2 linked regions of the Styela clava genome follow. The protein of the gene in region 1 interacts with the protein of each later gene in a pairwise test. Links are inferred from orthologs where the notes say so. Each region holds a gene or a part of one and is shown on either strand. Other genes may lie near its edges.

Region 1 (17,175 bases):
TTCCTTATTCAAAAATGCTATTCCATACTGTGATGGAAGTTATATGAAAATTTAGGTCAGGCGTTACAATTGACTTCGCATAACTTTCAAACTCGGTAACAGATAAAAAAAATATTAAAAACAATTTTAATCTTGCCAATCCTGCATTGCCAAATTCTTTTTTTGACTCCAGTTTGTAACATTTTATGTATCACATGTTCGCATAAATGGAAAAAAGCGGACCGAAATTGTCCGATAACTAATTTTGGGACTTTCAAAGGTCATTCAAAAATTTCAATGTCAAAGATTTTATCGATAATGTTTTATATTTCATTTCCGAGAATACTATTTTAGGATAAATTCAGAATAGAATTAAGGTTGGCCATCCCTAATTCCAAACAATATCTATTTAAGCGAAATTTATTCGCAAAAGATCAGAGATTGTAAGCTATTTTATTATTTACATAAAACAGGCCATTTCACAGAGCGATTTCAATCAGCAAGTAATGTTATTGAATTGTCATTGAGTGTTAAGTTAAGGAGGTACTTGAGCTGATTCAGCTTGGTTACGTTCAATTCAAATAAAAACAGCCTTAGGCTATTTCAAGAATGATTGGACGATTTGAAAATGGTCATCGTACACTTGAAACATAATATGCTACATCCTGGTTAAGTTGGATTGGTCATTTTTGAGAAGAAATGGTTTAACATAGGCGGAGGGTGGTTCTTAGACGGTGGGCGTGCCGCAAAAGGGGGGCTTTGACAATTTTTTAAGGGGGTGTGAAGCTAATTATAAATATTTGTTAGATTAGATCTTGCCTGCCTTATTTTGGATATTCAAATTTCTTTATTTTGGATTTTTCCGTTCCATCCACATATTTTTAGGGACGCGGCCTAAAAAGTTTGAGAACCACTGGTTCAACATTTAAATTTGAATGAACCTATGCAAAAGTTAAATGTGTTCGCTGAACTGAAAAAAAGGCAAATCTTGGGAGTGAAATAAGTAGCCAAAAAGTGTACTATGACCAAAAATGCTTTCTTTTACACCTGAAAACTGTAAAATACATGGAAATACATCGAATTCTATATAATTCCACAGTAAATCCGAAATATCCTTAATAAATATGTTTCTACGAGAGGGCTTTTTGAGTGAAATTAGACCAAGTGTCCAATTTTCATTAATAACAGGCTTTAGAAATATTAACATAAATTCGACGCTTGATTTTAAGCATAATTTCATTTAATTTTGGACTATTTGGTATTCTCATAGAATTATCAAAAAGACCAGACTAAAAAAAAACAGCTGTGGATTGACTGATATTGGACATCACTTAACAATGTATGTTGGAGTTAGCAAGGCTACAGATTACCTTAATCCTATTTATAGCAGAATTTCTTTTTTATATTCGCCTAATCAAGCGTGCATAAGAATTAATAATCCATACTAGGAGATCTACAATATTTTTGAAGGCTGCTCAAAGGAAAATTGTTAGTCCAAACGTCATTGCCTTGAGTTATCAGTAGGGATGGCCAAAATCAAATATTTCACTATCTCGAATACATTCTGAAAAAAATATTTTCGAATGCGGAATATCGAATACATTCTAATTGGGGGCATGTTCATGTGAAAAATTCCTAAAACAATAAATCTTCATGTTGATCACATCTAAAATGAGACAAATATGAAATATAATGAATTTGATTCGTTCTGGACATCTTTGGGTGAACCACAGTTACCATAGGTAGTAGGTTAGGAATTTTATGAGTCACTCAATATAAATAACTTCAATGGGGGCAACGGTTTATACACTATTTTGGGAGTCGTCCTTATATTATCCATTTAATATCATTAGCCCAACTTTGGCCCAGTTGAAGTAATCTATCTCGGGTAATGTAAATAAACGTCAAGGAAGTGAAAAAGGCTTGGAATTATATACGGCCAGATATAAATAGAAGATTATTCAAGTTGGGAATGGTTTATTTATATATTAGAAGAGAGTACAAAACCTATCCATCACATAACTTATTATCTAAGTGGTGATAGCAATCCTAATAAAATAATGTTTTCTGAAGAATCTGATCATTGACAGGAGGAAGGTAACATAAATATAGGGTGTCCATAAAGTCTCGAATTTATCAATACCTCATATTGTCACAGTCTCACAGATGTATTGAATGAAGTGAAAATACTTGAACGATTACTGATTAAAAAACAACATACCTGGTTAAGATATATTGTGAACTGACTTCATAACAAAGTTGAAATTTTAAAGGGACTTTATGGACACCCTTTATGATTGTGTTAGTGTGCAGCAATAAATACTCTTGCACCACACAGAATAGTCCTTTTCTATAATTCAGCATTTTTCAATAATTGTAAAACATGACAACTATAAAAAGCAAACAAAGCAAATTTTTCTTGACATTAGAAATAGATTTAAATTTATCCTGTGACAGACATGGGCCGCAAATAAACACTACATAATATATGTACTTCATCAGTATACCAAGATTGATCTAAATTTTAAAAAAATTGATGTTTGAATCCTGTCCTTATCCAAAAAACATGACATGATTGGAAAGCAAATAACATTTCATGTTTTACAAGTTTGTATAAATGGAATAGAACAGACCAAAGTGGGCCGGACGGTGGTAACTAATTTTAGCACTTTGATCTGAAGGTCATCAAAAAGTTCAAAGTCAAATTCAACGAGATTCTAACAAAATATATTATTTAAACAACACTTTTACGCCTTTCATTTTAAACAAGGTTTAGTACAAACAGTTACTGCTGAGCTAGGACCTGCTATGGTTAATGGCAGAATTTTTTTTCGTTCTGCATTGCTTGGCCAATTTATTACACCATGAGTGGACATTTTTCCGAATGTAATGCCAATACAACACAGTTCAATGTCTTGACCATGGCGCCGAATAATCGAACTCAAACCTTTTCACAAAGTTTCTAAGCAATATATTTGCAGTAAATTTTTTTAGGATCACACACACATTAATTAATTTTATATAATTATAGTCAAATTTGTGGTGCTAGTATCTCCATTGATAATTTTGTCAAACTAGAATACTGGTTAGAAACCGAAGACGTATCGATCTAAGGTTAGGGGATCCCGCAAAACAGTGGTCTTACTCCATAGTGACACCGTGTGTCCCATCACTAATTACTTAATGACTCGCTAATTATAAGACATAATCCATCCAAAATCAATAGGCTTCTGATCCGAGCTATGATGAATGCACATGCAAAATTTGGAGCGGATTCAACCTCGCTTTTGTGAGATATCGCGTGCATCTAACACACAGACAAACAGACAGACAAATACCTATCAACATACTTACCGATCTTAAGATCGATAAGTAATTAGTACTAATTACAGGATAGAATGACCCATCATTTTACACTGCCATTGCAATCAAAATTAACTATAGTGACACAAATGAAAATGAATTCCTAACATCTCTAGCGATTTTAAATGCTTGTGGCCTACCTGAAAGCGTTGTAGCTCAGCAATGGGCCATGTCCCACATTTTCCGGGGGCCACAAATCTATTAAAAATGCGAGAGATATTGATAATTTTGATTTGTGTCACTATAGGTAGGTCTAGAAGCAGAGATGTCCAGAACCAAATAATTTATTATTGGGAATAAATTTTAAAATAGCATTTTTAAATAAGAAATATCAAATATACTGTAAATTGACTAAATGGTCCTGTTTACATGGCACACAGTAAGCAGATGGGAGCTTACAGCCAACATATGGATAGATAGAACCTCATAAAAATTATTTGGGAAACTACAAGTTGAGTTTCAATTTTAATATAAATATAAAGTACTTATAAATTGCAGTGAAAAAATTTATTGAAAGAAATGAAGCAAGGAGAATAGTATAATATAAGAGAAACAAAGTCAGAAATAGCAGAATGGCAGGATAAATAAAAATAATACCGTAAAGAAATTTATAACTGAAAATTCATTCCCAAAATCAAGCATATAATCATATATAACCAGCTCAAATGCTGAGGAGAGATCCTTCATATAATACTCTATAGAGCAGGGGTGGGCAATATACGGCCCGCGGGCCGGGTCCTCCTGCGCCAAGATTTTGACCGGCCCCCTGTCTGAACTTCAGTACATTATAATATTACATTATTACACTTTTAGTACACAATGATAAATTCATTATTGGTTTTTTGGTCTCTATTTTTTGTAAAGTTTAAACCTTACTTTAAACGCGATTTATAATTTTCTTTCTTGCATTAGCGAATAAATATATGTGATTAAGATATTGAATACTATTCATGTTATAATCCAGCCCGCCGAGGACTTCATTTTCCCACATCTGGACCGCCGACTAGAGAAGTTGCCCACCCCTGCTGTAGAGCAATGGTTTTCAACCATGATTCAATGGAAATCATATAGCTATTAGGTTTGGCACTATTATTAATTAAACTTGCTACACTTTAAAAGTCATTTTATTTTCCCAGTATTAGTCTTACTTCAATTAGTTATTCATATTGCCTTACAACGAATTCATATGCAGAAATTGTAAGTTGCAAGTACCAAAAAGGTTGAAAACCACCGTTCTATGAAGTGGAGAGAGAATAGGAAATAAAGACGAAAGCAGGAACAAAACAAACAGGAATAGCATATAGCAAAAGAAAAATTATAAAAGGAAAAATAAATCCAATCAAAAGGGTGTCCATATTTAAATAAATCATAAGTCAAGAAACAGTGAAATGCTAGTTGCTTTAAACATTTTTGTTAACATTATTTACAACATCCAATTTTCCTTTTTAAATTATTCATGATACAATTAATTAAGGTAACATATGGTAGAGAAGGATGAGCCTTATTTTAGTCAATAACTCATTACATGTCACATAAATGTTATAAATACCTTCCCAGGGGAGATAGAGATAATAAAGTCTTATGTGCTATACTGGTACTGTCTGGTGGTACTCGTAGAATCTTATTACTTACTGAAAAAACGAAATACAGCAAATAGACAACAACTTGAAACTGAGGAAAAGGGCGCCAAACAGAGTTAATGATGTTTCCTTCATTTTATGTTGTTTTCCTCTATTTCACATAAATGTTACAAAAATATTCTTAGGAGCGCCCTTTCATGACCAGTGATAGGAAATATTTAATTTTCATTGATTTAACTCAACAATCCACTCAAAGTGGCAAGTTCTATCTACACACTGCATAGTAGAAGTTCACAAATTTGAAACCGTGAGTGACCGACACCAAATTTCTAGTATTCGGAAATTATTTTTTTCCAATATGCAATAGAAACATATAGTAGTCTGTGTATATTCGACAAGTTTGAATTTGGAAATGCAGGATAGGTAAGATAAACAATGATTTGATTTTTTATGGTATTCAGAGATTTTATAATTTTCTTAAAGTCAATAATTTTAAATTGAATAAACCTAAACCTGTATAGATTCAAGTATTAGGCTCATTTTTTGGCCCTCAGGCTTTGAAACTTTGTATACTAACACAACCAAAGAATGCTCACAAGCCACAGCCAAACAAAACCTCAAATACCATAAACAGTTTCTGCGAATAAATCTTTTGTCTCGTTTAGCCTGCTATAGCGTAAGCACAATGGCAACTAAAATTTCATGGGTGGGGTGTCGGGTATTAAAATCAGATCAAGTTTCTGCGGAGTTTTGAACCTGTAGTCTCTAACATGTAACTTTAGGATCTAACTTCTACCAGATTTAGTATCTCTTATATTTTCAGAGATAGCCAAAATCAAATATATTTTTTTAAGAACATCAAAATTCTAAATTTGGTAATGTCACCATAGAATTAGCAGAAATCATTATAAATCAAAGAAATTGAATTGGCAATGCAGAATTCTGGATTTGTTTTGCAATCCTTACCATTACATGAATAAATATCACAGCTAACAATGGCACAAAAGAACAAGTGTACTAACCAATATAAAATATAAAAAAAAAGTAAGAGTTCTAATGAAGACTACCAGGCCATGATACAAGTTTTATCGAAACACAGTTAACAGATTTCAAAATATTTAGGACTTGTAGATAAGGGATATCTTTCACAAGTCTTTTATTGATTGCAACAATCTCATCCCCGCATTTCAGGAATTTATTCGCGCTTGAATTTTTGGAAATATGCGTAATAAAAATCGGGGATGGCCCATGTTCTTCTGTAAATCCTCCCGTGATTTTAAATCCGTAATTTGTAGAAGAAGGTTTCCGTAAAACCACCTCGCGTATCGATGAAAACTCATGTGTAGCAGCGAGCCACATTTTCCAAGATGGAGCCCATTTACTTGGATTTTGATGTAGAGAAGTCAGTTCATCCCATAAAGCTGTGTCTTCAGCTTTCCCTTCATATTCTAATTCGTAAGCAACGAGAGTAACTTCTCTTTGCTGAGCTGATTCCCGTAATGCGTTCATTGCTTGAGTGTGAGAGAGACCAGTTAAACGTATCGAGTTTATTTCTGAAAGGAGGTCGCCACGACGTATTCGCTTGTCTTTACCTAATACTGACATGGAAAGAACATCTTGAACAAATATTGGTAGATTTCCACGAGGGCTCCCATTTCCTCCTGAAACAATGATTCCTAAATTTTCCTTTGGTGATTTTGTGACAGAAATTATTTTTTTCGTGTGGGATGATTTTGACAACTTCTTTTGCTGCGGCGAATACGGATTCGTGGATTTTGACATTGAAGTAGATGCATCATTTGAAGCACTTTTCTGCCTTTGTATTATTGAATCATGAGCCCATTCGTTACAGACTATAGTAGGTTTAACCAGCGGATGGCGAACTAGTATTTTTACTTCTTTATCGCAACTTCCGATAACTCTAGCAGCTTGTTCTGGTGTACTATCACCGACTTCGGTGTTCCCAATTTTCATTATTCTGTCTCCGACTTGAAGACGACCGTCCGATTCCGCAACTTGACCCGGGATTAGTTCAATGATATAAACACCTTTCGCTCCGGTTTCACTAGAAGATATACGAATCCCGAGCTGCTCAAGCGGAGGTTTGATGAGGCCAACACATTCCTCATAATATGCAGAAGAGCTTGGTTTTCTGACTAAAGAAGCAACGCTGTCACTGGGGTCCTCATTGTCCACATCTCGTAACAACATAAACCTCATTAAATTAGACGGCTTCGTAAGCGCAGCACGAGCTTCAGCATGCATTACTGAAAACATTGGTTCTCCATTTATCTCCATTATAATGTCACCAACATGAATACGACCATCTTGAAACGCTAAACTCTGCGGTAAAATATCTTGAACAATAATATAATGCAACGGCGTATCACTACCACCGACTATAAGCAATCCAAGCTCAGCTGTACCTTCTGGTCGAAACAATTCAACGACAACTTCTTCCGAAAAAGGGTGCAAATCTGAAAGCTTATCATTGTTATCCTTGAAAGCACAAATTTTCAAATGCGCTTCGATACCAGCTCTTGGACCTTTATGATCACAGCCATACATCGATTTAGGGCACCGTGAAACGGCCCCTGGGCATATTTCCTTTAAATGGCCCTTAAGGTCACAGCGCTGTATTTTTTTATCACAATATTCCTCATGCGGACAGGTAACTGTTAATTTGTTAACTAGTTTTCGTAGAATTAGACTTGACTGCCAACAGTCTGTTGCTGTGTTGGTTAATTCTTCTCTATCTACTGGACAAATGTGTTTCACTCTTAAATAATTTTTGATGCAAATAGAACAGAACGTGTGTCCGCATTTTGTATCGTAGGGATCAACCAGTGGTTGCAGACAAATATCACACATCAGGTCTTCATCAACTTCGTCGACGTAATTATATTCATGATTTTCCGTAACACCGTGATTCTGCCCACAGCATTTGCATAACGGTGGTGATTTAGGTACAGGTGATGTGCTTTTGTGAGTCGTTTCGTTTACATTGTTCTCGACACTAGATGTCCTCATTTCAGTACTAGGTTCGTTTTCAACTGGTGAATTCCCACGAGACGAGTGCGATGAATAGGACGACTCTCTATCACTAGATGGTGTTTGACGTCCTTGACGAGACGATCGATTTGTATCAGAAATTTGCGTACGCTGTCCAGATGTTTCTGGAAGCTCCACAAATTGTCCTCCTCTATCGTTACGTGGTTGATTGGTTGTGACATGCTGGATAGTAGCGTTTGAATAATCGATTGTAGTATAACGTTCCCCTTCGACAGAAACATACTCCGGTTGAGACGAACTTAAATTTGTGTTCAAAAATTCAGTATTTCCCCATCGTTCAAGTTCAGAGCAATAACTAAGTCCTGTGTCATCGTAACTATACGATTCATTTCTTGAAATTGTTTGGTATCCGAGATTATCAATTCCACTACTAGGGCATCGAGGAGACGAATCTGAGTGATAGCTTTCTTTTTCGATGTTCGATCGTGTTTTACGATGCTTTTGTTTTGAGATCGAATTTTCTGAGGTCGGCCGTCCGACAGCGACGAACCCTATATCCCCAGTCCCACTTTTAACAGCCACTACATCTCTATTAATTTGATTTCTATTTTTCGTCAAAGTACTGGAGGATTCGATCTCACCCCCCTCTTCTTGATTATGAACGCCCACGCTGCTATCTGAGCTGAAGTCTATAAGATCGTTCTGTCCTGGCAAGCAATCAGGAGCTTGATAAGAGTATTCCATAATACGATTACTGAATAATAATATATAACTTGAAAAAAATAAACAGCCCAGTTGGAACTAATTTTAGAAAGATGTGAAAAAGACAAATGTTTATACGTTTATTTTTCTATCTTACAACCAAGAATTAAATTCCTTGTGTACAATCCAAATTATAGAAACATGAAAATAAATATCAGAATTCTTATCCATGGTTAGATATAAAAAGATGAAAGACATTGGTGAAATAATATACCATAAATACAAAACACAACTAAAAAAAAATAAAAATTTTAAACTGAAAAATCGTGGGACTGGCATAAATTGTATCTAGTTCAGGAGGGGCTTGATAAGTCACAGTAACGTCGTAGTGATGACACAAGCCAATTAGAAGTACATGTGGTACTAAACTACACCAGACCCCATAAGCAGCCATTCCAGATAACATTATTTATAGGGGTACCGGTATCGCGCAATCGCGGTACCGGTATCTAAGTAAACAATGTAAATCCATAGATACCGGTAACTTCAAGTGTTCCTCGTCATTAAAGGAAATAATAGTCTGCTCTACACTGCATAATACACACCATCAATATGTACTCATTCTAGAAATATAATTAGTAGTTACATAAATCTGCCGGGTCTACTGATTCGAAGGTTGAAGTCAAATATGAAAAAGAAAACTTAACTAAGGCGGTTGAACCATGTTGAACTAAAAGGCGAACTTGTGAGTCGTACGTGGGAGGAGGTAATTTCTCGGTGACTCACACACGACCTCTTGAGGCCTAATTCAAGTCATCAACCAAACCACGCCTCTCACAATACTCCTATCAAAAATAATCTTTCCACTGCGGAAAAAAAACAGCCGATGACTTGCTAAATTTTATTAATTATATTTATAAGATGTCGACTTCGTATACGGTTATGGCCGCAAACCACAAGATTTGCACCTGTACATACAATGTAGAAAATCAACGGTGGGAAGACGGACGTGCGCACTATCTGAAACCTGAAATAACATCAGAATTCCCCTTCCCTGTTTTCACTATAATATATTTCATTGTATTAGTTTTATTCCAATAAAGTTAATTTTCAATAAAATGTAATTCGAAAACTGTTCTTTGTTTTCAGTCCCGACTAGAACCCTGAAGACAAAACTTGTTTATATAGGTATTTAAAATACATTTTTTCAAAATCAACAAAATTTTTCGAAAAGCTCTGAAAAGATTTGAAAACAATTAGCAATAATGAAAGTAATGCTTCCAAGGGATTGAACGAAATTAAAAATAAATTCAAAAAGCAGACAAACACGATGAATGTTTTTCCAAGCATCGATTTCGTGCATAAAGAAATCGTTTAGGACAGAATATAAATATACAAGAGATGAGAAAGTTGACTTGAGGCCTTTTGCCCAGCTACCAGTTCCTGTCGGGTATAGAATTAGTAAGCCAGTTATTTGTTTTCAGATGTGTGGACTTGATGATAGAAAAAGCCGTAACCGACCAGCGTTACATGAACGAAATTCGCACAAAAAAAAACTCGAGTGTCGGGTCCCTATAGGGGTGTAGCCAGAATTACAAAAAAAAATGATGGGGGGGGGGGCGGGGAGAATGATGATGAGGTAGGTTCCAAAATGGGAATTCAAAAATTCCCGTGCAATAACTTCTAAATCGAGTGCCGTGATTACTCCAGTCTTTAAAATAGACATTTTTTCAGCGAATAATTATCGCCTTTGCGTTGACTTACGGTAAAACAAAGGGAGGACTACTCTAAAAAACTATGAAAATTTGTGGACATGTAATACGCGATACACTATACCCGGTTATGAATAGATGGATTCGAATTTTTGCAACCTTGGGATGTGTCAACTTTGAATTATTCTCTTTCAGCGCTGACTGCTACTCAAAATTATTTTTGAAATATCGCCGTTGGAAAAACCCAAGCGTCTGCGTTAAAATCCCGAACGGGCAAAGTATTTAATCCATGATTGCCACACCATATTAATAAATTTATAATGTTTGCCACTGCCGAATTGATCGATTTTATAAATGGGAGTGAACAGTACTTTTATGAAAAATATATTGCCAAGCTGAAAAATTTTCAACGGTAGCCAAACAAATTGTGCGATTTACGCGGATCTCTTAAAACAAAACTCATTGTGTTTCCCTTCGTTTTATTTACCCTTTATCATCTTTAGCATCACATCGCTGATGAATACACTATAACAACTCATTTTTTACAGTTTACTCAAAATTCCGTGCGAAAAAGCAATCATCATCTTGCTCTTGGAACAACAACAATTTGTGATTTAGGAGAATAAATACCAACGTAAAATTGTTTTTATAAAAATTATAGTTTTGGTTTATCCAATTTGGCAATGGATTTGAATTTGGCAAAAAAAAAAAAAAAAAACGTAAAGGTGTTTACGGCCTACGCCCCACTGATAAAAACAATCGGTGATTTTAACAAAATGCAATCGCACGGTGACTTTTTCAGCCTTCTGAGAATTTTGTGGGGGTCATATATAGGATTGGCCATATGTAACCGTCGATAATAACCACTATTCTTATGTAAAACCATATAAGTTCCTCGTGTCACTTTATGTTTGAACGTGTTTTTTTGTGATGACAAAATAAACGATTGATTGATTGATTGACTTATTCCGTGTTGGATAGTGTGAAATATTGTATAATACGTAATTATTATATATGCATAATACTGTACCATCGAAACAAATTACATTTCAAATCGAAACGCGTGAATTACAGTATCGTAATCATCCGTACCTTGGTAAGTGTATTACTATCGTTACCCAGTCGCAATCTCATGTATTTACACTTCATATAGCGTTTAATCCGTGTATAGCCGCACTTCATTTTAGTCAGAAGTTCAGAACGTCGTGTAGCAAAGATAGTAATCAATTCTCCCAGGTCTGCTATGGTAATTGTTCAACGCCAAGAACTTGAAAAGTACCGTCGCTAATTCGTGACGTATGTTAGGACGTAATGGCGCGCGTCATCAAAATTGCACCATCGTTACATCAGAATGACATCATAGGCTTGCACAAATAAGGCGATATAGAAAGACAATGAAGACATCGGCAGCATATACAGATATATAAGTGGCGATGATACTCATACATTTATGTTACGGTAAGTTACAGAGTTTCTGTTATTCTCAGTTACAGAGTTACTGTTATTTTGTTTGTGTGGTTGTTCTTGTAGAAAATCGGAAACCTTTTGTGAAAGTTGTGGGAAATTGAGACAGTAAATGACATGCACCTTAAACTTTGCTTTGCCTATGGTTACGGTACTGGATTAACATTCAGCAATCTTATTGACTTTCCAGTTCACTCTACGCTGAGATAAATATGAAAATCCTATGTTTGCCTTTCAACTTAACATCTATCCTTTTTTCTATATTGGTATTTCAGTATTTAAATACGGAATACAGGAATAAAGATATGGTCAACTCAATTTTAAATGGGAATGTCTTAGGCATGCCTAATATGAAAGCAATATGCCAGGAAAAGGCAAAATTCACAGAACTTTCTGAAGTTCCTGCAGATACAAGAATACTATCAGTAGAGGAAACTGGCAATAGTTGTGAATTTGGATCGGCAAAATATTATGCCATCTGTGGCTTCGGAGGGATTCTAAGTTGTGGTCTAACTCATACTGCCATGGTTCCTCTTGATTTGGTGAAATGCAGAATACAAGTTGAGCCAGATAAATACAGGGGGATTATCAGCGGTTTTAGAGTCTCTATACAAGAAGAAGGCATTCGAGGCCTAGGTAAAGGATGGGCACCTACTTTTATCGGTTATTCAATGCAAGGACTTGGCAAATTTGGATTTTATGAAGTTTTTAAGAATTTTTATGGGAATTTATTGGGTGAAGAAAAATCATATTTATGGAGAACAAGTTTATATTTGGCGGCAAGTGCTTCTGCTGAATTTTTTGCCGATATAGCTTTGGCACCGATGGAAGCTTGTAAAGTACGAATTCAAACTCAGCCAGGATTTGCAAATACTTTACGTGAAGCTTTTCCTAAAATGTGGAAAGAAGAGGGTATTACTGCCTTTTACAAAGGTTTACCTCCACTTTGGATGAGGCAAATTCCATATACCATGATCAAATTCTCTTGTTTTGAGAGAACAGTAGAGGCAATGTACAAGTATGTTGTGCCAAAACCGAGAGATGAATGCAGCAAGCCAGAGCAGCTGGTTGTTACGTTTGTCGCTGGTTACATCGCAGGTGTACTCTGCGCTATTGGGTCCCATCCTCCTGACTCGGTTGTGTCTGTACTTAATAATGACGCTGGTAGCTCTCCACTTGATGCTCTTAAAAAATTAGGGCCAGTCGGAATTTGGAAAGGTCTCACAGCTCGTATTATCATGATTGGTACTGTCACTGCCCTTCAGTGGTTTATTTATGATTCAGTGAAAGTTTATTTCCGTTTACCTCGCCCGCCACCACCAGAAATGCCAGACAGTCTGCGAATAAAACTGGCTGCTCAAGGGAAACTATGATTCAGTGTGTTTTTAATAGTTCGATTCCCACAAGCCAGATAAAAATTTGAACTTTATTTTGAGTATGTATTGAGTGATACTGATTGCCAGTGGGGCCCAATTGATGAATTTCCTTACTTTTGGTGAGATTTATTCTCTTCACGTTTAACCGAGCATTTTTTTTTTTATTAATGTAAAAACAATACATGACTTATTGCACTAAATCATGGTTAGTATCCTAATCAACTCTCTTTATGGTTATATATTCATATTTTCAGTAATGAATTTTTATTATAATCTAGGTGTTTGTATTACTATAATCGTGTATCAATATTTGTGTACTATCATTATTTTTTATGATTTCTGCCTCATCTTATCAACTGATAAAACTTGTATTCTTATCTGCACTTTTTTGAGTTTCATTTCCACAAAATAGCTAATGAACAGCATACTTTGTACCTCTCTAGTTACAGGCAACATAGATTTTATGCAATGTTATGGGCTTATGGCATCCCTTATATTTTTCTCTAGAATAATGCCTTCGTTTTCCATTTTTGAATAATCGGGATAGTAAGCTTGTTGAATATTTTCCAGTATGAATATTTCACAGTAAATAAAATATTTTTTAGTCTCTTCAGAGTCACCATAAAGCTTGGTAACATACCTACGCCGCGAATATCGGAGCCAGGGGCATTGCCAGGAGTTTTGAGGGGGGTTCTGAGATTTCTAATTTCTCAGTTGGATCGTATCAGCTAGGGTGCTGTGTATGTACTAGTGTGCATGCGATGTATGATACCGAAAAATTTTTTTTTACATTTCAATAAGGGGGAATTGACGCTTGACCCCCTTGAATTTGCCATTGATCTGAGTCATATTGTGGCCTGGAAAGTTTGTTCAAAATTTTAGTTCGTGATTGTTAGTTGGCTGTTCTCCACGTGCCGCACAAGGCTTCTTGTAGGCTGCTTTGGCACGCAGGTTGCACACCCCTGGTATAATAAGTAATACGGTATGTTTTTTATGAAAATCATCTTTTTCTCTCAGAACTTTAGAGATGAGATAAGAGCAGTGCTCATTTATCTCATTTGGAATGGTACACCCTGCCCATCTAACATTTTTATTAAATAAAAACTCAATGTTTAGAAGGTGTGTTTATATTGATGCAATAATTTATTATTCAGTTAATGTGGATGTTGCTCTTGGATTCCACAATTCATTTGTGCAGAGCGAGGTAATAACCTCGTTTCCAGTGCTCCACACATTAGGAGTATCTACATAGTACACCCTGTGATGTACTACTAACTATACCAGGGGTCGCGACCCCAAATTGGGTCGAAGTGATAGGTAGGGTCGCAACCAGGTCATGGGGTCGCTGAGGTATGGTAGAGGATGGATGTACAACTCATCTAAGATTTGACAAACCATGTTAAATTTAGCAGTTTGTACCATGGCTTAATGTAAAACAGGCCTATAGGCATCGCTCTATGCTTTCGTTATTGAAAATGTAGGTGTTTATTATGACATCACTGTTTGGTTTTAGCTTATTTTACTTAATACCACCACATAACCAAACTCAAAAGTCCAGTGAAAGAAGCTCTAAAGTTTCGTGAAAAATATATATATTGACCTGGGGTCGCACTGGACACTTGAAAGTTGTCTTTGGGGTCGTCCTGAAAAAAGCTTGGGAACCCCTGTACTATACACTCGGTTGACAAGCACTGGATCAGAGATTAGTTTGGTGTGTGTTCCCCTATTTCGCCTCAGGCTCTGCAAAATCTCATTAGTTCAAACCTTGACAATTGCACTTATATTTACCTATTTCATTTATTCTTATTCAGATGAAATTTAGCTTTAAATGCTTAGTAGCAATGAGTAGAGTATCTTATAATGAAATATACAAATACAGTCCGCCTTCATGGTGCAAACATCTGGAAAAATGTCCAACACATAGAGCCGCACTGGCGTTAACACCGACACCCATACATGCTTGGAAAGTTCCGGGACTACCTGAGGACGTTAAATTATTTGTGAAGAGAGATGATATGACTGGAGCTGCTTTGAGTGGAAATAAAGTAAGAAAACTGGAATTTTTACTGGCAGATGCGATTCAAAAAGGATGTGGCTCTGTTATCACATGTGGGGCATTACAATCGAACCATTGTCGTGCAACTGCGGTTGCTGCGTCTCAACTTGGACTAGAAACGCATCTGTTGCTACGATCAGAGGAAGATGTTGACGCAATAAAAAGCAGTGGGAATTTATTTTTATCTCAAATGTGCAATGCGAATGTATATTTAGTACCGAAACGTGCTAAATACGAGACAGAGTTAAAACCAAGACAAGAGGCTTTAGCTGAAGCTATTTTAAAGAAAACTGGAAAGCCCGCGTATCCAATCTGTGTTGGGGGCTCGGATAGTGTGGGTTTACATGGCTACCTCAATGCATGGAACGAATTGTTAGATCAAAAAGTGCAAGATAATTTTGACGATGTTATTGTTACTTGTGGCAGCGGAGGGACAATCGCAGGCATTTCGATCGGTAACTATCTCACTGGGGGGAAACTTAAAATTCATGCAGTGGCCGTTTGTGACGACGCTGCCTATTTTCATGGCCATATTAATTCTATGCTTGAAGAAATTGGATTGAGCAGTGAGACCTGCTCGGAAGACATTGTTGATATTATCGAAGGTTATAAAGGAGCCGGGTATGGAATATCAACTCCTGAAGACCACGAGTTGTATCGTAAATTGGCTGCAGCCACTGGAATATTTTGTGACCCTGTCTATAGTGGGAAAGGCATTAAAGGGTTAATTTCAGAGCTGAATATAAATCGAAAGCGTTTCAAGGGAGATAGATTTTTGTTTGTACATACTGGTGGTATATTTGGACTGTATGATGAAAGAATGTTTGATTTTTTTGAGAAAGATGTTAATAGAATATATGATTGGAAAGATATTGAGAAGTCGGCAAATGGATTTCTAGAAAGTTAATTATGTCTCTATAATTGTACAACTAATTGAAATGTGCAATTTATTTTTATAAATTTCGATGATTGGTGCAGAATGCTAAGTGTCACGAGAGTGCTTGCCATTATACCACTAATGACTGATTACCCTGCTTTGTTCCATAGATACGTAACAGTTAGCTTGTGAGTAGCCAACATTGAATGTCATAAGATCAATACCCAAAATTTTTGTGCCCACAACTTATAGAAAGCCTGCCCACGATTTCACCTAGTTATTTGTATCTGGACCTCCTGTATTGAAGGTTGCACATCCCTGATTTACACACCTTCCACCAGCCAAGTTCATGCCTTCAGATATATAATTTGGTTTTGTATTCACTATTACGGCTGAGCTTCTGTATCAGCTTACCAGTAGCCGACGAATTGATTTCTACAAAGTTAATTATGTTGCCAAAATTGTGTATTATGTACTTAAATGAGATATGCAATTTATTTTTAGAAATCTAATAATAATTACCGTATTTCCCGGCGAATAAGTCTACGGGGTGAATAAGACGAGGCCTGTTTTTGAGCCTGAAAAAATGGCTTCTCGCATATAACCTGATAATAAGACGAGTAGTAAAATCGCATCAACATCAGAGTCTCAAATTACCATGCAGAGACTTTTGAGCGATCGCCGCCTTTGCGCATTGGTTAAAATAGCCTATGATGATTTTTTCTTGTAGAGTAATATTCAATCCATAACAACTACGAGAATTCAAACTGTCTTTCAATCTAATTGTGTTCAACCTAATTCGTGATTGAGCGCACCATATAAGAACATTACCGATCTAAAACAACACGGCAATGATGAAAACGTGGGGATGCTATCGTCCAACGTATTTGGTATTTTATGGTACGAATTGAATGATGGGACGACCCCCCACCAAAATCATGCCAAAAATTTGGGTCTAGAAAAGCGACTTATTCGCTGGGAAATACGGTATGTGTTGATTCCACCAGCCTTGCTCTGCAATTCTAAAAATGTGATTGTTTGATTCCCCGCCAAA
Region 2 (17,178 bases), on another chromosome or scaffold:
TTATGACGACAATATAAAAACGGGCTCGATGATTATGACGACTTTACAAGAACGGATTCGCTCAAACCTGAATCGCACCACAGTTACATTTTTTCTTTCCAACATGGCATTGGGCGCCGCGTTGGCAAACTAGTTGAACTATCTTTGCTGAAGTCATAGCTGACAATTGGTTCTATTCCGCCGCTCATCAGATCAACTCGTCTATTAATTAGGTCTAGTTGAGAATGCGGCATACAGCGCCATTCAAAAGTTCCAATCGAGCATCATATTATACTTTTGCAGCACATCGTTTCTCACGCGCTTTGATATAAAAAGGCATTTATAAAATGAAATCTCTAAACGGCCATAAAATTATCGCTGTGAAAAGTGCCTATAAACCGCTATCTTTGCTCTATGCAGCAGCATCCAGCGTTTTGTAGATACCTAGGTGGTCCAAAAACACTTGGGCATCAAGTCCAGGTATCTCAAAAAACGACTAAACCGAACAAACTGATAACCGGACAGTATAATTAAACAGCCTCATTAACTTTCATCTTCCTTGGGATGAATGTGAAAATCCTAATTTCACTCAAATGAGAACTTTCTTTTCACAGCAATACCGGTACTGACTAAACATAAGTCTGCTAGAACCTAATCACGTTACATTCACAGACTCGACAACTGTATGTAGAAGATTCACGTCCAATGCATGGCTATACACAATTCTATTATGGTATTGTAATATATATTTATTACAATCTATATTGCACTTAATAAAAATAAAACTTGTGATTTTGTTCCTGTTATAGGAAGAATGAACTTTTCACCAAAGAGCATTCATTTAAATTCATTGCACGAAATTTCTAAAGCACCATTCACTTGAATTTGAAAAGTAATGAAAATTCTTGAACTTTTAACAAAACGGTCCATTTACTATGAAATGCAAACTTTAAAGGTTTGTCCCAACTACAGCATTCACATGAAAATCTTCTGAACACCCAATCGGACAAGACAGCAATGATAAAACACACATGGCCACCACAGTGAACGCACATTTTCAGCCAAATGCAAAATAATTTAATGAAAGCCAAAAGGAACTGTATCCACCATGAATGTGCACCCTTAATTATACAAAGCAGCAATTAGAAAATCTATAGGGCCCATAATTTTCAGAGAAATTATACAAAAAATAAAAATCATATCCTTCTGACGACTCTTTCCATTTTATGTACTAAAAATTTAAACAAATCATCCATTATTTGGAAGAAAAGCAATTTTTAAAAAACAACGATAACCACCCAAAAATGGTCCAAAACCAAAAAGTCCAATAAACTGCCATGACCACCACAATAGCTTCTGACAGCATGTCTGAAATGCATTGTCATAATCTATAATTGTGACTATATTGCAATTTCAGATAAACTTGAGATTACATCTTTGAGCTCCTTCACGACAGCGTCAATGTCTTCCTTTGTTGTGCTACGTCCTGTGGATAACCTAATTGTGTTAGTTGCAATATCAAATGGAACATGGAAATTCAAAAGTACTTGTGACGGTTTACATTCATTTGAATGACACGCTGAACCAGTACTGCAGACGAATCCTTTGATATTTTGAAGTACTTTATATCCTGAAATAAAGAATCAATTAGAATGAATAGTATCGGCCCATATATACACTTCGTGTCATACTGATATATTGGTAATTTATAATGGGATGCTTTTTCAGCCTTTGTTAAGAACTTCACCTACCTTCCATATTTTGTCCTATAAATGAAACACTGGATGTGTTAGGTAATCTTGGTGCTAAAGAGCAATTCAATTTCACTTTACTATCACCAAACTCTGCCTGAAAAAAAGTTTGTATAATAAAATGAAACATGTTTAATACATGATTCATGCTACGCCTATGAATAAAAAATACTGATACAAATTATGTAAAAGGTCGGATAAATACTGATGAGTATGCAACATCACAAATACAGTTGTGATATTATTTGCCCTTTAATAAATGAAGGTAGGATTTTTTTATTTATCTTGGGGGAAGGGGGAGGGAAGCTGATAAAACATGGTATAATCATACAGGAGACCAATGGTATTCATCTGGCTACCGGTCCATCTCAGGTTAGGTAATAGTTAAGATATGCTCCTTGGAGCTATAATAAAGTACAAGACATCAATAGTTCCACTTTATTCAAAAATGTAATTTCTAGTCCAAACATCACAATTTACAGACATGGTGTTATTCTTTTAACAATCTACAGAACAGTTATATTGATAACTAAAAAAAAACAATATACCAATAATCGTTTTTCCAAATAATCTCTGATTTCTCTCATGTGTTCAGAAATAGATTTCAGATCATCATTTGCTATCATGGCTGCTTTACCAAGTCCGGCAATCATTGGAGTGTTCTCTGTGCCGGGGCGATAATTTCTTTCTTGAGCTCCACCGAAAAACAGTGGGTATAATGGGGCTCCACCCTCACCAAGTCCACGTACATACAAAGCACCAATTCTTGGCCCATAAAACTAAAAAAAAATGATCCCCATTACAATATATGTTGTGATGCTGAGATCATGTTTAATAAAATTAAAAGTTTCATATTTAAATTAATTATTAATCAAAATTAAGCATTTAGAATAGAGCCTGTTATTGCCCTTCAACTAATTTTCTTATCTTCCTTACTAAAGCAAAATGAGAAATACCATAATGTGACCATAAATGTGGCTGTCGTCATCAAGCACGGCCATATAAGATCTTCTTTGAACTGTTTAGACATAAATCATTCGTTTTCAGGGTTTAGTTAAATCTGTAAACATTCACAACACAACAATATAATTAAATCTACCTTATGTCCAACCAGTGTTAAATAATCAACACCCAAGTCTTCTACGTCGACTAATATTTTTCCGAGAGCTTGCGCAGCGTCTGTATGTATTAATGGTCTCAATGATTCTGACTCCATAGCTGAAATTTTTTCACTTATTTCTTTGATTGGCTAGAAATTATAAAAACATAGTCCTTGATAACTCATAGGTAGTAGATGTGTTTAGTTAGTAAATTTGAAAAATAGAAAAAAAGATGGCTTAGCGGTTGAAGCGTTAGACTTTACTGTGTTGGCATCGCATATTACACATCTCGAGTTCAAACCTCATGCACTCCACCTCACCCTGGAGTTGATAAATTGGTTAAGCAATGCCAAACTAGAAAGATTCTGGTCCTTGCAAATAATAGTAGCATATCCTTAGAAATAGATGGCTGCTATGGTGTCTTGTTCGGATGAAAGGCATGGATAAGCGCCGCTTGAGAAAAAAAACACAGCACAGGGATACATCCAAAAGCTGACTGATACTGCAATTTCATCCCTCTTTTTGACCAATGAGTTTAATGTAGAGAACATTTTACAATATTTATAATGTAAGTGTAAGTAGACAGATTAAATGAAGTTTTTGCCGTCTAAATTTTAGATTATTATTATGGGCTAACAATTTTTATAAATCATAATTGAAACTGCAGTGGGAGAGAAAATTAATTTGTGTATAAATGTAGACCAATAATAATTTAAAAATATTAAGATACGATTTGAACCAATCATCCCATAAATGAAGATTTCTTCCCAAGATCATAGTTGGCAGAGCAAGAATGAACGCGATGTCCATAAAGTCAAATTTCAATTATGAAGTCAATTCTGAATATTGTTGTTTTTTTATTCAGTAAATGTTTTTAAGTATTTTTACTTCATTCAATACATCTGTGAGGACCAAAACAATATATGGTTTCAATAAGTTCCCTTTGCAATTTAAAAAAAAATTAAGACACTATGGACACCCTATATATTTATATATATTAGGACCCACCATAATGACTCCAGTTTCATTATTGGCCATCATAATAGTCACTAGGCAAGTGTTGGGAAGAATTGCATTAACAATATCATCAACTGTTACACATCTACATTCTTTATCAACAGGCACAAACGTAACATCTGAAATAAATAACAATATTTCAATTTATAATTATAAAATTATAAAAGTGAAAGATTAAAAAAAAGAAAAAAAGATATATGTAACAATTTATCACTTCCACAGTTTTATATATGTATTTAACATGATGGCATAACAACTCGAGTAAAATACAAACGAGAATTATATAGCATTACTCGTTGTATAGAATTAACAGAGATCCCATCTAAACAACTCCAACCTTCTGATTTGCGGTGATTCATATAGTAAAAATTTTTGAAAATTTGCATTGAATGAGCCAACTATGATTATCTACAATGAAACAAACTAGACAAAACCAACATTAAATCCCAAATAGTACTTCTAAATTTGTTAACAATTGCCAAGTTCAGAAGTTAAATCAGAAATATGCTAAGTATCAGTGGTTTTTTATATAGATTATATAGAGTAAATATTGTGAAGCTATTCAAATAAGAATAATTCATGAATAACAAATACCGAGGCAGATGAAATACATCAGCGATTCCCAAATTTTTTGTCTGTGTCAGTTATGTTTAACACAATTCTGTTAATTTTTGCAGCGCACCTTTTGGGAACAGCTGACATACATGATGAATGTAAAATAACTCGATAAAAATTGGATGAAACCCATTTTGCAGAATACCTATTTCTCCTTTGTCTTTTAGATTGATCAGTGGTAATGTCACAGCATCATGTTCAATGGTTGTCGTGACGATGTGAGGTTTGAGCCTGTGTTCTCCTTGGTGTTGAGATTTCACTTGAGTTCTTTCAAAATGTTCAATTGCTGTAGCAATGACCCAATTGTTAGCTTCTGTCCCTCCAGATGTAAAAACTATATCTGATGATTGTGCATTGATTGATCTTGCAACTTGTTTTCTTGCTGTTGTAATCGTGGCTTTTGCTTTTTCACCTGCATGATTAGGAACAACAAGAAAGCTTAGACACAATTAGGGGCTCGTGTAGTTTCGTACCTAAAGTACTTCTAGTGGGCGTAGCATAACAATTTTTGAATATGTCGTTCCTAACCCCCACCTGCCTGCGCCATCCGAAACGAACGACTATGTCACAGTGACGTGATAAGGCCATTCGAACTGTCATCCAAGACGCGAAGACGATCACCCGAAATCGAGCAAGATATTCTCTTGTTTTCTCGTCGCAGCGATACGAGCGAGATCACTGTTGTTACTGAGTTCTTCATCGTCAGCGCAGTTGCCATTTCGGTCGATCGTAGGTATACTTTGGCAAGTTCTATGACATGATTGTGACGTCGTAGTGACATAATTTTTGTATGGCATAGTCAGGGGGTTGTCATGCTACGCCCACTGAAAGTACTTTAGGTCTGTAGGTACAAAACTAAATGAGCCCTCACATGAATATATGTAAAGATATAAACTCCAGCCTCCTGACTGTTGTTTTGAAACGCAAGGCTGCAAGGCCATTCAAAATTTTAAAACCATACTTCAGTACTTCTATATTTTCTCACCTTCAGGATATGAACTGCTGGGATTCCCCCATGTATTTTTCAGTGCATCTGTAATTGTCTCTAATACTTCATCTTCTAATGGAGTAGTTGCATTATAATCCAAGTAAATTGTGTTACTGATATTGTTTTTGACGTTCATCGCTACCTATGTCTGAATATGTATCCTAGCTATCAACGATACATATCATGTCAAGTTTTTTTCTATATAACAATTTTTAGGTCTGGTGTAATTTCGTACCTAAAGTACTTCTAGCGGGCGTAGCATAACAATTTTTTCACATGTCAATCCTAACCCTCACCTGACTACGCCATCAAAAAATTACGTCACCACGACCACTAGAAGTACTTGTGGTAAGAAACTACACTAAACCCCAATTTTATTCTCAATTTCTCTATATTTCTTCTTGGGATATGACAGTATGACGTGCTCAATATTTTCGGAATTTTATAAGCCTGTTTTTTTTCTATATATATTTATTAATATATAAAACACAGTTGATCAGTACATCTACAACATTATTATTCACTAATCATAGAAAATACGGTACACAATCATAATTCATCATATAAGATAATCAATTATTGTGCATACATCTTAAATTTTTTGTATGCAATGTATAGTAACAATATTTCTTATTAATATATAAAACACAGTTGATCGGCACAGTTACATCATCACTAATCACAGGAGTTATACACGTATAAATACCATCATTTCAGCATTTATTGTACACATATCTTAAAATTTTATAAGCTTGATCATTCGGGGAATACCCCACGTGCCATCTGGCGGCCTTCTCATATAACCCCAGTGCATGAGTTTTCGACCTTTTTCTGCTCGTGTGCCATTTTGACTAAAACGATATTAGTGGTGGTCCATCAAACTTATGAAATGAAAATTACAGAACGACAACAGCAAAAAAATTTGATCACCGCACGCTATTAGGTAGGAACTACCTTTATCGAATGTTTTGTTCCTTACCTGATCGCAATGAACTTATTGGACACGTAGTGGACATAGCGATCGTTTCAATATTATGTTGTTGTTGTTCTTAATGTCCTTGTTCTTTGACACGTTTTGAAGAAATCGCTTTTCGTTTTGAATACTGGACCAATTGCTTTGAAATTTAAAGTGGTAGAAGGCTATTACTTTTATTCATTTTAAATATTTCTGTTAGCTCTGTGAGATTTGTTTTTGTTTGCTATGACGTCATTAAACGTTCTGCGGACGCCATTTTGTGTCCTACTGTACTGCTTCGCTTGGTGTGAATATATTTGTAGACTGTGATCTGACGGTACGGTAAACCGTACTGTACTGCGAACAGACGTGTCCATATATTTGGGCGTAGCTCTCTTGTTTTATTGAAAAAGCTCCATACTCGTACTTATTTTTGCGGTGTGATTCCCTAGCCTAGTCTTTAACACCATTAACAACTTGTATCACATAGGAATTTGAATTCACTATTTTCACACAACGTTTTCAATACAATCGAAACGATATATCATATTTTACTTCAACCAAAATAATGACCCCAATTTATTCAAGTTGGAGTAAATGTTTCTCCGCTGTTGAGCCGCTTTCAACTTTGTTGTACTGTACGTTTTAAAACTTAACCAAGGTTTTGTTTGCTCTACTGATTTCATAATCGGTTTTTATTTTTTTGTTTTTATAAATCATTTACCGGTAATCGTCTTTTATGCTGATTATGGAGTCAAAATAAACTTATCTTATCTTGTTTCGATAACTCTGCCGTTTATAAACGGGCTCCTTCCCATGTGGGGCACGGGGGCGTCAGCACGTTGTGAAGGTGAGTTTGTTGCTTAGTTTAATGATTTAAATAATAATACAATAACACCCAGGTCGCTTAATTAAACCACACTGCATGGCTTTCATCTACAATATGCCGATCATTTGTGACGCATGCACTAAACTTCAAAACACGAATATATCAAATGTGTTTACTTGAAATTTACCACGAATGTAAAACTTAAAGATACCTAACCGAGATTAAACTTCATAACTTTCATTAAAGTAGCAAGACAGTTTGTACTAATACAAATATACAACTCGTAATTGAATAGATAAGATCTTAATATGTTTTCAATAACAATAAATCAATTCGTTTATTACTCCAGACCGCTGCGGTCCATATAAAAATAACACAAACAGCGACATCATGATAAGAAGTTGAATTTTCTAACCATTACAACCATCTACATTTATTCGACATTCCTATGCATACACCATCCCCGCAAGATCATGTATTAGTCAAACACACGGATGTGTTTTCGATTTTGTTCTAAACACAAAACAATCCAATAAATAAACCTATTGTTCTCTGATTAAAACCATTTTAGCTAGAAAGTTCGTTCCGAGAAAGCGATGAGGTGTGGATAATAACTGCAAAATCATTGGGTACTAATTATTTTTATTTTATTGCCTAGCCCTAGTCATATCATAACCTTTTTTGACTTGTGGCTCCTTTCCGGGTGCTTTTAGCACTCGTGCGTTTGTTATTACAGTATTTATAATGTTATTTTTAATGGTAGATTTCGATTCCCATTAGGTTCAAATAATTCAAGCTCAACAAAGTGAAAACACCATGGGAAATAATATTATCAAGCAATCAAACTGAAAAGAACGGGTTATTTTCTTGTGAAAGGGAAATCAGTTTTGTGGTAGCACTGTGGCCTCCACCCACCCACTCCACCCACCTACACCTTCTTTTCTACTTTTGCAAAGAAATCACTCAAATTTGAATGTGTTATGTCTGTCTCGAGTTTTACTCTTCGTAGATTTTTAATTTCTTTTTCAAGCTGGATCAGAGTCTATAATATCAAATAAATTAAAATAGCGCTGTTATGATATTTGCTTACGATACAACAACTATACATATTTTGTATATCCTTGCGATAAAAATGCAGAAAAGGGATTTATATCCCATTTGGACTAGGGTACTTGCTTCCACTTATATGTTTACTGCACCCTCAATTGGTCCTTTAGTTAAGAACAAAATCAGGTGTTTCTGGCTGCCTAATATGTTTTTCTTTTATCACTTTCAGCGAAAATAATAAACCTTCAAAAATACGTCAATTAACAAATACGTATCACACTTTATTATAAACATGGATAAAGTTATGGCTTCCATCAAGCTTCAGACATCATCATAATGGAAGACGGAACTCGAATAAAATCCGGAATGAAATTTGCAAGTTTCTTGAACCCGGATATGTGGAGCATGACATTCAACTGGAAAATACTATTCGGAACAATACCTGGATAAAAAGAAGGTGTTAAAAAGCAATATTTTTGAGGTCGATGATTAGATTAGAATCCGTCCAAAATTATATTCCTAAATCACATATCCCGCTCCTTCCAACCAAACATGTGTTGGCAGTTTTCTTTTGTAATGGCTACGAAGACCGTTTTGTTGTATATACTTGTTGTTGTTAGAATTTTTCTCTCTAATTACTGGACCAAACGACTTTTTTCATTCAATTTTTAATGTATCCTTATAGTATTATGCGCAAGTTGCACTACCGTGTTTGTACAGCTTAAGTACAAGCAGTTGTACTACAGTAAATACTATTAAAAAATTCTCCCCGTTTGGTAAACCTTGTTTTACATAAAGAAAATTTAGATTAAATATTGGAACCTTTTGGATCTTTTTATTCCCTCCTAACCAGTGGCGTAGCATCCACCCCCGCAACCCCCGCGGTCGCGAGGCCCACAGCGCAAAAGGGCCCACGCGGTTAGAATTTAGAAATTAAAGCCGCAAAACCAAAAGTTGAATTGAAAAACCAGTAAGGCACATCTTATAACGTTGGTGTTAGTTCTGCTCAAATCGTTTTGTTACGTAGCAATGCCAGGGAGTCGTCGATTTTCGGCGTCTTTGGGTTTGATCGCACCGCCAAAATTACGAAGGTTGTCAGAATGATGTCGAAAGCAAAACCTCTCAGTGGCTCACAGAAACGCAGGAAATGGGCAGAAGGGGAAGCACGTATAAAAAAAAATTAAAGTAACCAATATAAACGGCAAATTTTAGGTTACCATTGCCTTTTAATAACGACATGTTATGCTTTTCGACGAAAAAAAAAACGTTGTTTTAGCTTATATCCGAGAGTTTTTAGGATTATTTCCACGAAATATTTTTGCGGGGGGGCCCACGAGAGTCTTGCTACGCCACTGCTCCTAACTGTGCATAAAAAATATGTGTTTCTATCATAATTATGTTGATGCTTTAGGGATTCATATTTAGTCAAGCTGTGCCTGACAGTTGAAAGTAAATTGACAATTTCTTTATCGAGTAAACACATTTGATATTTTCGTGTTTTGAAATTCAGTACTTGCGTCACAAATGATAGGCGAGACATATTGTAGATGAAATCATTCAATAAACAATAAATAAACATGCAGTGTGGTTTAAAGAAATACTTCCTTCCCAGGGAGAAATTTCGTTCCTTTTGGAAGAAGGTACAGAGGCTTGACTGATATTGTTTCAGGTATTTAGCATTATTTCATACATATTCAAAATACTTAAAAGCTAGCGTGTGGCGTTACACTAAATATGAATCCTTGAAGCTTCAACATATAATAGTCTATAAAACTCTCCTTTGTTCTTAGTTCGATTGCTCGACATGGTTATTTATTTCACAGGGTGTTTTCACTTAGTTGAGCATGAATTGAGTTTGAACCTAATGGGATTCGAAATCTACCAATAAAAATTAAACTATGAATACTACTGTAATGACAAACGCACGAGTGCTAAAAGCATCCGCAAATGAGCCACGAGCCTTAAAAGGTTAGGACCCAGCTAGACAATGATTCAGAAGACTTTGATTAAAACGAAAAAAAATAGTGAACAATGATTTTGCAGTTATTATCCACACCACACCGCTTTCTCGCAACGAACTTTCTAGATAAAATGGTTTTTATCAGAGAACAATAAGTTAATTTATTGAATTGTTTTGTGTTTAGAACAAAATCTAAAACACATCCGTGTGTTTGACTAATACATTAACTTGCGGTGATGGTGTATGTATAGGAATGTCGAATAAATGTAGACGGTGGTAATGGTTAGAAAATTCAACTTCTTATCATGATGTTACACATTCTTATCACAATTACACATTATTTTTGCAATATTCTTTCGTGTGACATTGCTATAGAAGCTCACTCGCATGCTATATCAAGTTTTTTTAAACCTTGTAATCTTAAATTTAGTCGTATTTGTGTTTTTGGCAATGCATCAATATTTCTCGATATAGTTGCAACAAAATTTTTATGTAACATTTTTTATTCCCACTAATATTGCACCACATCACAACCGTGCCAACAAAAAATCTATCAATTTTTCTATTTTTTATAGAGTGTTGTCTTGTTTTTCCTCTGATCAGTGTTTGCGTAATTAATTCGATTTATTTAAAGTTATTGCCCGATTCTGTATAGTGTATTTTTGTTTTATTTACTTTTGTTATTTGACTGTTTTTTATGAGGACGGACGCGTATTTTCACGTTTTTAACTTTGTCTTTAAGTTATGCCCGTCCTCCAGGTCCTCTACGTTTTGTCACTTTTGTGTTTGTTCGTTTGTTGTTGTTTTGTTTTATACCAGAGCGACCGAAATAAAATTAATTGATTGATGTACAGTTATGTACATGATAAGATTCAAAAGGTGTCAATATCTAATATAAATTTTCGGACCTCCTGAAGTATGCGCACCAAGATGGCGCACAACCTGAACACAGGTTGTGTACCAGGTTAGGGTTCAGGTTATGCGACGTCTTGGTGCGCATACTTCAGGAGTACCAAATTTTCTTTATGTAAAGCAAGCTTTTCCAAACGTGGAGGAACTTTTTCATAGTATTTGATGTAATACAACTGCTTGTACTTAAGTTGTACAAACGCGGTAATGCAACTTGCGCATAACACTACTAAGTTTACATTAAAGATTGAATAAATAAAGTAGTTTAATAAAGTGAGAGAAGAATAAAAATAGGCGAAGGGAGGATTGTAACGAAAAAGGTTGGGAATCACTTATGTAACCATCGTTTCTTCAACATTTCTCTCGTTTTATTAAAAACCATGTGAAAACCAGTGAAACCATTCAAACGAGTAAAGGAGACTATAAATTCTTGATACATCGAGCACGGAATATTAGTTTGCTCGGTGGATAGGAAGAAATATTGCGATACCGCGTCGCACTGTAATTTCCATGGTTACTTAGACAGTGTATTACTGATTACAGTATGTTATTGATTTTTTTTAACCGAAATCTTAATTCAATGTCATTTTTCTTATATCAACATAAATAAAATAAAAATTTCATAACGTAGAGTTTTAGAATTTTTTTAATTTATTAAATAAAATTTGTCTGTTTCTATGGCAAATTTTCAATAATTTGAGTTCTAACACTTCAACGATTAAGACACCGCGCCCTTCTTTTGACATAAAATAAAACTCAAATCGGAGGTATTAGAAACTGTCTGAATTTCATTTCCTTCTGCTCCGGAATTTAGGTAACAGTAAAGTCAGTAACTGAACTATATAAGACTTATTGGACACGGAGTGGATATTTGGGTCGTTTTGTTATCATGTTGTTTTTCTTCTTCGTATCGTATTGAAAAAAATCGCTTTTCTTTTTTACTACTGGATCAGACTGTATTTTTCGATAGAAGACTATATTCAAAAAAGGGTATTTTTTATTTCCGTACTACTCCGTGCCCATATATTTGAGCATCGTTCTCTTGTTTCTAAGTAAATTTGATATCAACTGGGCGAGATGTTGTGCATAAAATTCTCTAATAAGAAACATTACCGTCCTGTTTATATTCTTTTATTTATATTATGTATTAACTTACTTGTTTCGTCTAAATTTAAGATAAACTAGCTGAACAGTTCTAAGTCACAATGAAGATATTTCTTGCATCGATTCTGCTGTTGGTTGCTGTAATCTGTGTGTTACTTGGTGCCACATACGGAAAGATCTATGGAATACGTTAGTTTAAATTTATTTATTTACCAAAACCCTAAATTATTTGACAAAAATTACAGCAAAGTTCTACATCAAATCTATTTATATTAGCATGAAGATTACTTCTATGCAAAATGATAAACTAAACTTGATAACAAAATTTCAATCTGTATAAAACTATAGGAAGTTACTAAACGACATACTCTTATTCAAATTAAAAATCAACTGATATCAGATCAGCTAAAACTATCGATTACTAATTTTTCTGCATTACCGATATTTATCTTATTGTTGTGGTTGAGTTCTAATGTAATTCTAATTTATATTTAATGCAGCATGTCGGGAAAACGGTCAATGTGTATTCGGCCATCATTGCAATCCATCAACGTGGTTATGCGTTGAAGGTAAATTTGTAATATTATTACCAAGTGGCTCAATTTCTATAAACACCATCAGTCAGGGTTGTAGCCAGGAATTTTCAAAGATAAAAGGGGAATCTGAAATTCTTATTCTCAAGTTAGGCCATATCAGCTAAAGAAACTAAAAACGCGGGTTTTCAAGGGTTTCGACTCAAGAGTTTGAAGGTCTAGAAAGCGTTTTGGGCTACTATGTATGATACAGAAAGATGCTTTTTCACATTTCAAAAGGAGGCTTCCGTCCCTTATCCTCTGCTATTTGTCCAAACACCATTTCGAGGCCATCGAAAATATCCATAGCCGAATGCAAATCACTTTTCTACAACACAATTGGTTCATAAACTCTACCACAAGTTTATCATTGTCTTTCAAATTTTTGTGTGTTTCCGTGTCCATTTAAAATCCAAGCACAGATTTCAAACTTTATTAGTTTTGTTATTTTATTACAAACCTTTACCGATGATATATATATCAGCAACAGAAACATTTACAAAACTTATTATTTCTTTCCAGGGAGTCAGGGATAGGCAACCCATGAGTCAACGGAAAGAAAAATGAATTCGACAATCATTTGCTAAATATAAAGTAATAAAATATTCTGCAGCATTCGTAAGTTTTGTATTTGGAGCATGTCAGCATCTTCATAGAACAGCATTAGAATATCCAAACATCCATCCATACGGATACTTGTGCGTTTTTATAACTTTCGAACGTTATATATGAACGCACTTTGATTGATTTAGTATAAATTGTATGGAAAACAAAAACGGAATCTGGAATTACCTTAATTTCATTCGTAGAAGTCTAAACACAAGCGCCATGCTATATATGTGCCAATGTTTATAAATCCATTTAAAATGGCCTGATGTGGTATATATATCAGTGATTAACATATAACACTTGGTACGCCCTGGGGTTTTCTATACACCCGGTTGACGAGCACTGGTTTAGAACCCCCCGAACCCGAGACGATGATGACCAATCTAAACTCACAGTCACAAAACTATATGAAAACTACTCCACGCTACCAACGTATTCCTATCCGAGGCTTCCAAGCTCACCCGACAATCAATATTTTATAATGATGGCCCACTATACTTGACATCCAAAATAATTTGGTAAATTATAGGTGATGTTATACATAAAATTAGATAGCCCCCCCCCCCCAAACACACACCCCGCACACACAGACAGACACGGGAACGCGCCCGTTTATATACGACAGAGATATCGAAACAACGTTGAAAGCCGACATAACATATTAAAAATTGAGTGTTTTTTTTTTACAAAAGTAGAAAAGAACTAGACCTAGGGTTCCCAATCGGTACCTACTAGGGGAAGCAGAGCAGTGGGTGGGGTGGGGGGGGGGGGGGGGGAGGACACCATGCTGCCACAAAACTGATTTTTCTTTTGCAAGAAAACTCCCTTGTTCTTCTCAGTTTGATTGCTTGACAAGGGTATTTCACACGGTGTTTTCACTCTCTTGAGCATTAATCGTTGGGACCTAATGATATTTGAAATCAACCAATAAAAATAACATTATAAATACTACTGTAATGACAAACACGAGTGCTAAAAGCATCCGGAAATGCCACAAGTCAAAAAAGGTTATGACTAGGGCTGGGCATTTTCAAATATCTGATGATTTCAGAATCGAATCGAATAATTATTTTTGGCCCCCATTCTTGAATACTTGGGAGATATCTAAGTATATGTAAATTTCTCATTGTATTGGGTCTTCCAGACACATAAATTACTGAAAACATAGAATATATCATTCAGAATACAGCGTTCACACACAATCAAAACCACGCTTTCTCCAATACTTCATTTATATGTCAGATTTCCGTTGCGAAATTGAGAAATTCACCTCGACCATTGGTGGAAAGAAAGAAACAAAATGGCGGCGATTCGAAATTTGGCTCTGAATCGATTCTAATAATTACTATTCGATTCAAATATTGAATTTGAAATGCCCAGCCTAAGTTATGGCCCACTGAACTAGACAATGAATTGGAAGGCTTTACTTGAAATGAAAAACAAAACTGATAAGAAAACAAGGATTTTGCGGTTATTATTCACACCACGTCGCTTTCTTGGAACGAACTTTCTAGATAAAAGGGTTTTAATCAGAAAACATGAGAATTACTTATTGGATTGTTTTGTGTTTAGAACAAAATCCAAAACACATCCGTGTGTTTGACTAATACGTAAACTTGCGGTGATGGTGTATGTATAAGAATGTCGGATAGCAGAATGTCGTAAAGGGATTACCTAACCGCTGGTCAGTTACGACTTCCTCCCCCATTAAGTCCATGTTTCCGAAAACAAATTACTAACTAATCCCTTAGCCGACATGGAATGGTAATCGGGCGAGAGGCCGTGGTTCGCCATACGGTTAAGCCGTCATATCGGCTTTCCTCTTCTTGGGATAAATATGTAAATCCTATAACATGTGGCGGGCGGGGGAGTGTCAGCATGTTATAAGATTGAGTTTGTTGCTTATATTGATGATTTAAAAATAGTAATAATACAATAATACCCAGGTCGCTTAAACCTACCTAAAGGCCGCCTTCTGTTGGTGAATATTATTCGGCTTTCCTTTTCCTATTGTAGTATGACTCGATGTTAGACTCTTTTATGGGTGACGCTGCTCGATGACCATTTACTGGATTACCATGGTACCTTCATACTGATATACAGTTTTCTTCCATTTTACTGAATTCTGTTCGCACATTTTGTATTTTCGTTATGTGAAAATAAACTACTGGCTCACTGACAAACATTTCACTCTTATTGACCTTCAGTTTATCATACTCATGTACAACAACGCCTATAATCTGTTTTCTACCCACCTGAATTATTTTGGAAGTCAAGTATAGTGGGCCATCATTATGAAACTCGCCCGTTACCAAGTGTATGCCACTTTTAAATGGATTTATAAAGATTGGTACATATAAAGTATGGCGCTTGTGTTTATAAACTTATGTACTACTTATGTCTGACGTTTCCTCTTTGTATTAGAATTCTACGAATGAAATGGAGGTAATCCCAGACCGTGTTTGTTTCCCATACAAATTATACTAAATCAATCAAAGTGCAAAAATCGCTTTTCCCAAAAAAGGAGGACGCGTTCATATATGACGTTCGAAAGTTATATACAGACGTACAAGTATCCGTATGGATGTTTGGATAATGTTGTTCTAATACTGTTCTCTGAAGATGCTGACATGCTCCAAATCCAAAACTTACAAAATGATCGAATGTTATTGCTGCAGAATATATTATTAATTCGTAATTAGCAAATTATTGTCGAATTTATTTTTCTTTCTAGAAAAGCTTCCCCAATGACGCTGAAAAGAAAAAAAAAGTTTTTATAAATGTTTCTGTTGCTGGTATATCGGTAAAAATTTGAAATAAAATAGTAATAACTAGATAGCGATCGGAAACCGCCGACTTATCGATCTTGCGGTTTCGATTCCTTCGCTCTAACTCCATAGCGACACCACGTGTCCCATCACTAATTAATTGATAACTCGCTGATTATACGACATATTTCATCCAAAATCAATACGATTCTGGTCCGAGATATGATGAATGCACATGCAAAATTTGGAACATATCTCGCTCTCGTGAGATATCGCGTAACATACGAAAGTGAAACAGACAAACAAACAGACAAATATCTATCAACATTCTTACCGATCGAGATCAATAAGTAATAAAGTTTGAAATCTGTGCTTGGCTTTTTAGAAAACACCGAAAAACACAAAAATTTGAAAGACAATGATAAATTTGTGGTGGGGTTTATGAACCAACTGTGTTGCATAGAAGTGATGTGCATTCGGCTACGGATATTTGCGGTGGCTTCGAAACGGCGTTTGGACCGATAGCAGGGCGTAGCCAGGGGGTAAGGGACGGAAGCCCACTTTTGAAATGTAAAAAAGCAATATTCTGTATCATACATAGCAACTTTGAGTAGCTTAAAACGAATTTTAGATCCTCGAAGTCTTGATTCGAGACCCTTGGAAACCCCACGTTTACCGACTCTAGCTGTTATAGCTTTACTTGGAAATTAGAAATTTCGGAACCACCTTCATCATTGCAAATTCCTCGCTACAACCCTGACTGATGGTGTTTATAGAAATTGAGCCACTTGGTAATAATATTACAAATTTACCTTTAACACAATCCCCTGTTGATGTATCGCAATGTTGGTTAAATTCACAGGCCTCTTCACATGCTGCATTAAATATAAATTAGAATTGCATTAGAACCAAGTCACAACAATAAGATAAATATCCGTAATGCAGAAAAAATAGTAATCGATAGTTTTAGCTGAT

What was found.
Region 2: the proteins of ligand of Numb protein X 2-like (region 1) and selenocysteine lyase-like interact in binary tests that used the Homo sapiens proteins (3 or more experiments, as listed by UniProt). The link is inferred for Styela clava from reciprocal best matches to the Homo sapiens genes LNX2 and SCLY.

Annotation. Positions count from the first base shown.
Region 1 is NC_135258.1:3,216,533-3,233,707, reverse strand, and holds the start of ligand of Numb protein X 2-like, read right to left. Parts: upstream 9,127-17,175; 5' UTR 8,679-9,126; coding exon 5,976-8,678; 3' UTR 1-5,975. Other genes in the region: uncharacterized protein LOC144411634, read left to right, coding at 15,000-16,151.
Region 2 is NC_135264.1:13,437,673-13,454,850, forward strand, and holds selenocysteine lyase-like, read right to left. Parts: upstream 6,450-17,178; 5' UTR 6,430-6,449; intron 5,599-6,429; 5' UTR 5,587-5,598; coding exon 5,448-5,586; intron 4,875-5,447; coding exon 4,608-4,874; intron 3,967-4,607; coding exon 3,839-3,966; intron 2,980-3,838; coding exon 2,830-2,979; intron 2,510-2,829; coding exon 2,279-2,509; intron 1,828-2,278; coding exon 1,731-1,827; intron 1,610-1,730; coding exon 1,380-1,609; 3' UTR 703-1,379; downstream 1-702. UniProt on the Homo sapiens protein: Catalyzes the decomposition of L-selenocysteine to L-alanine and elemental selenium.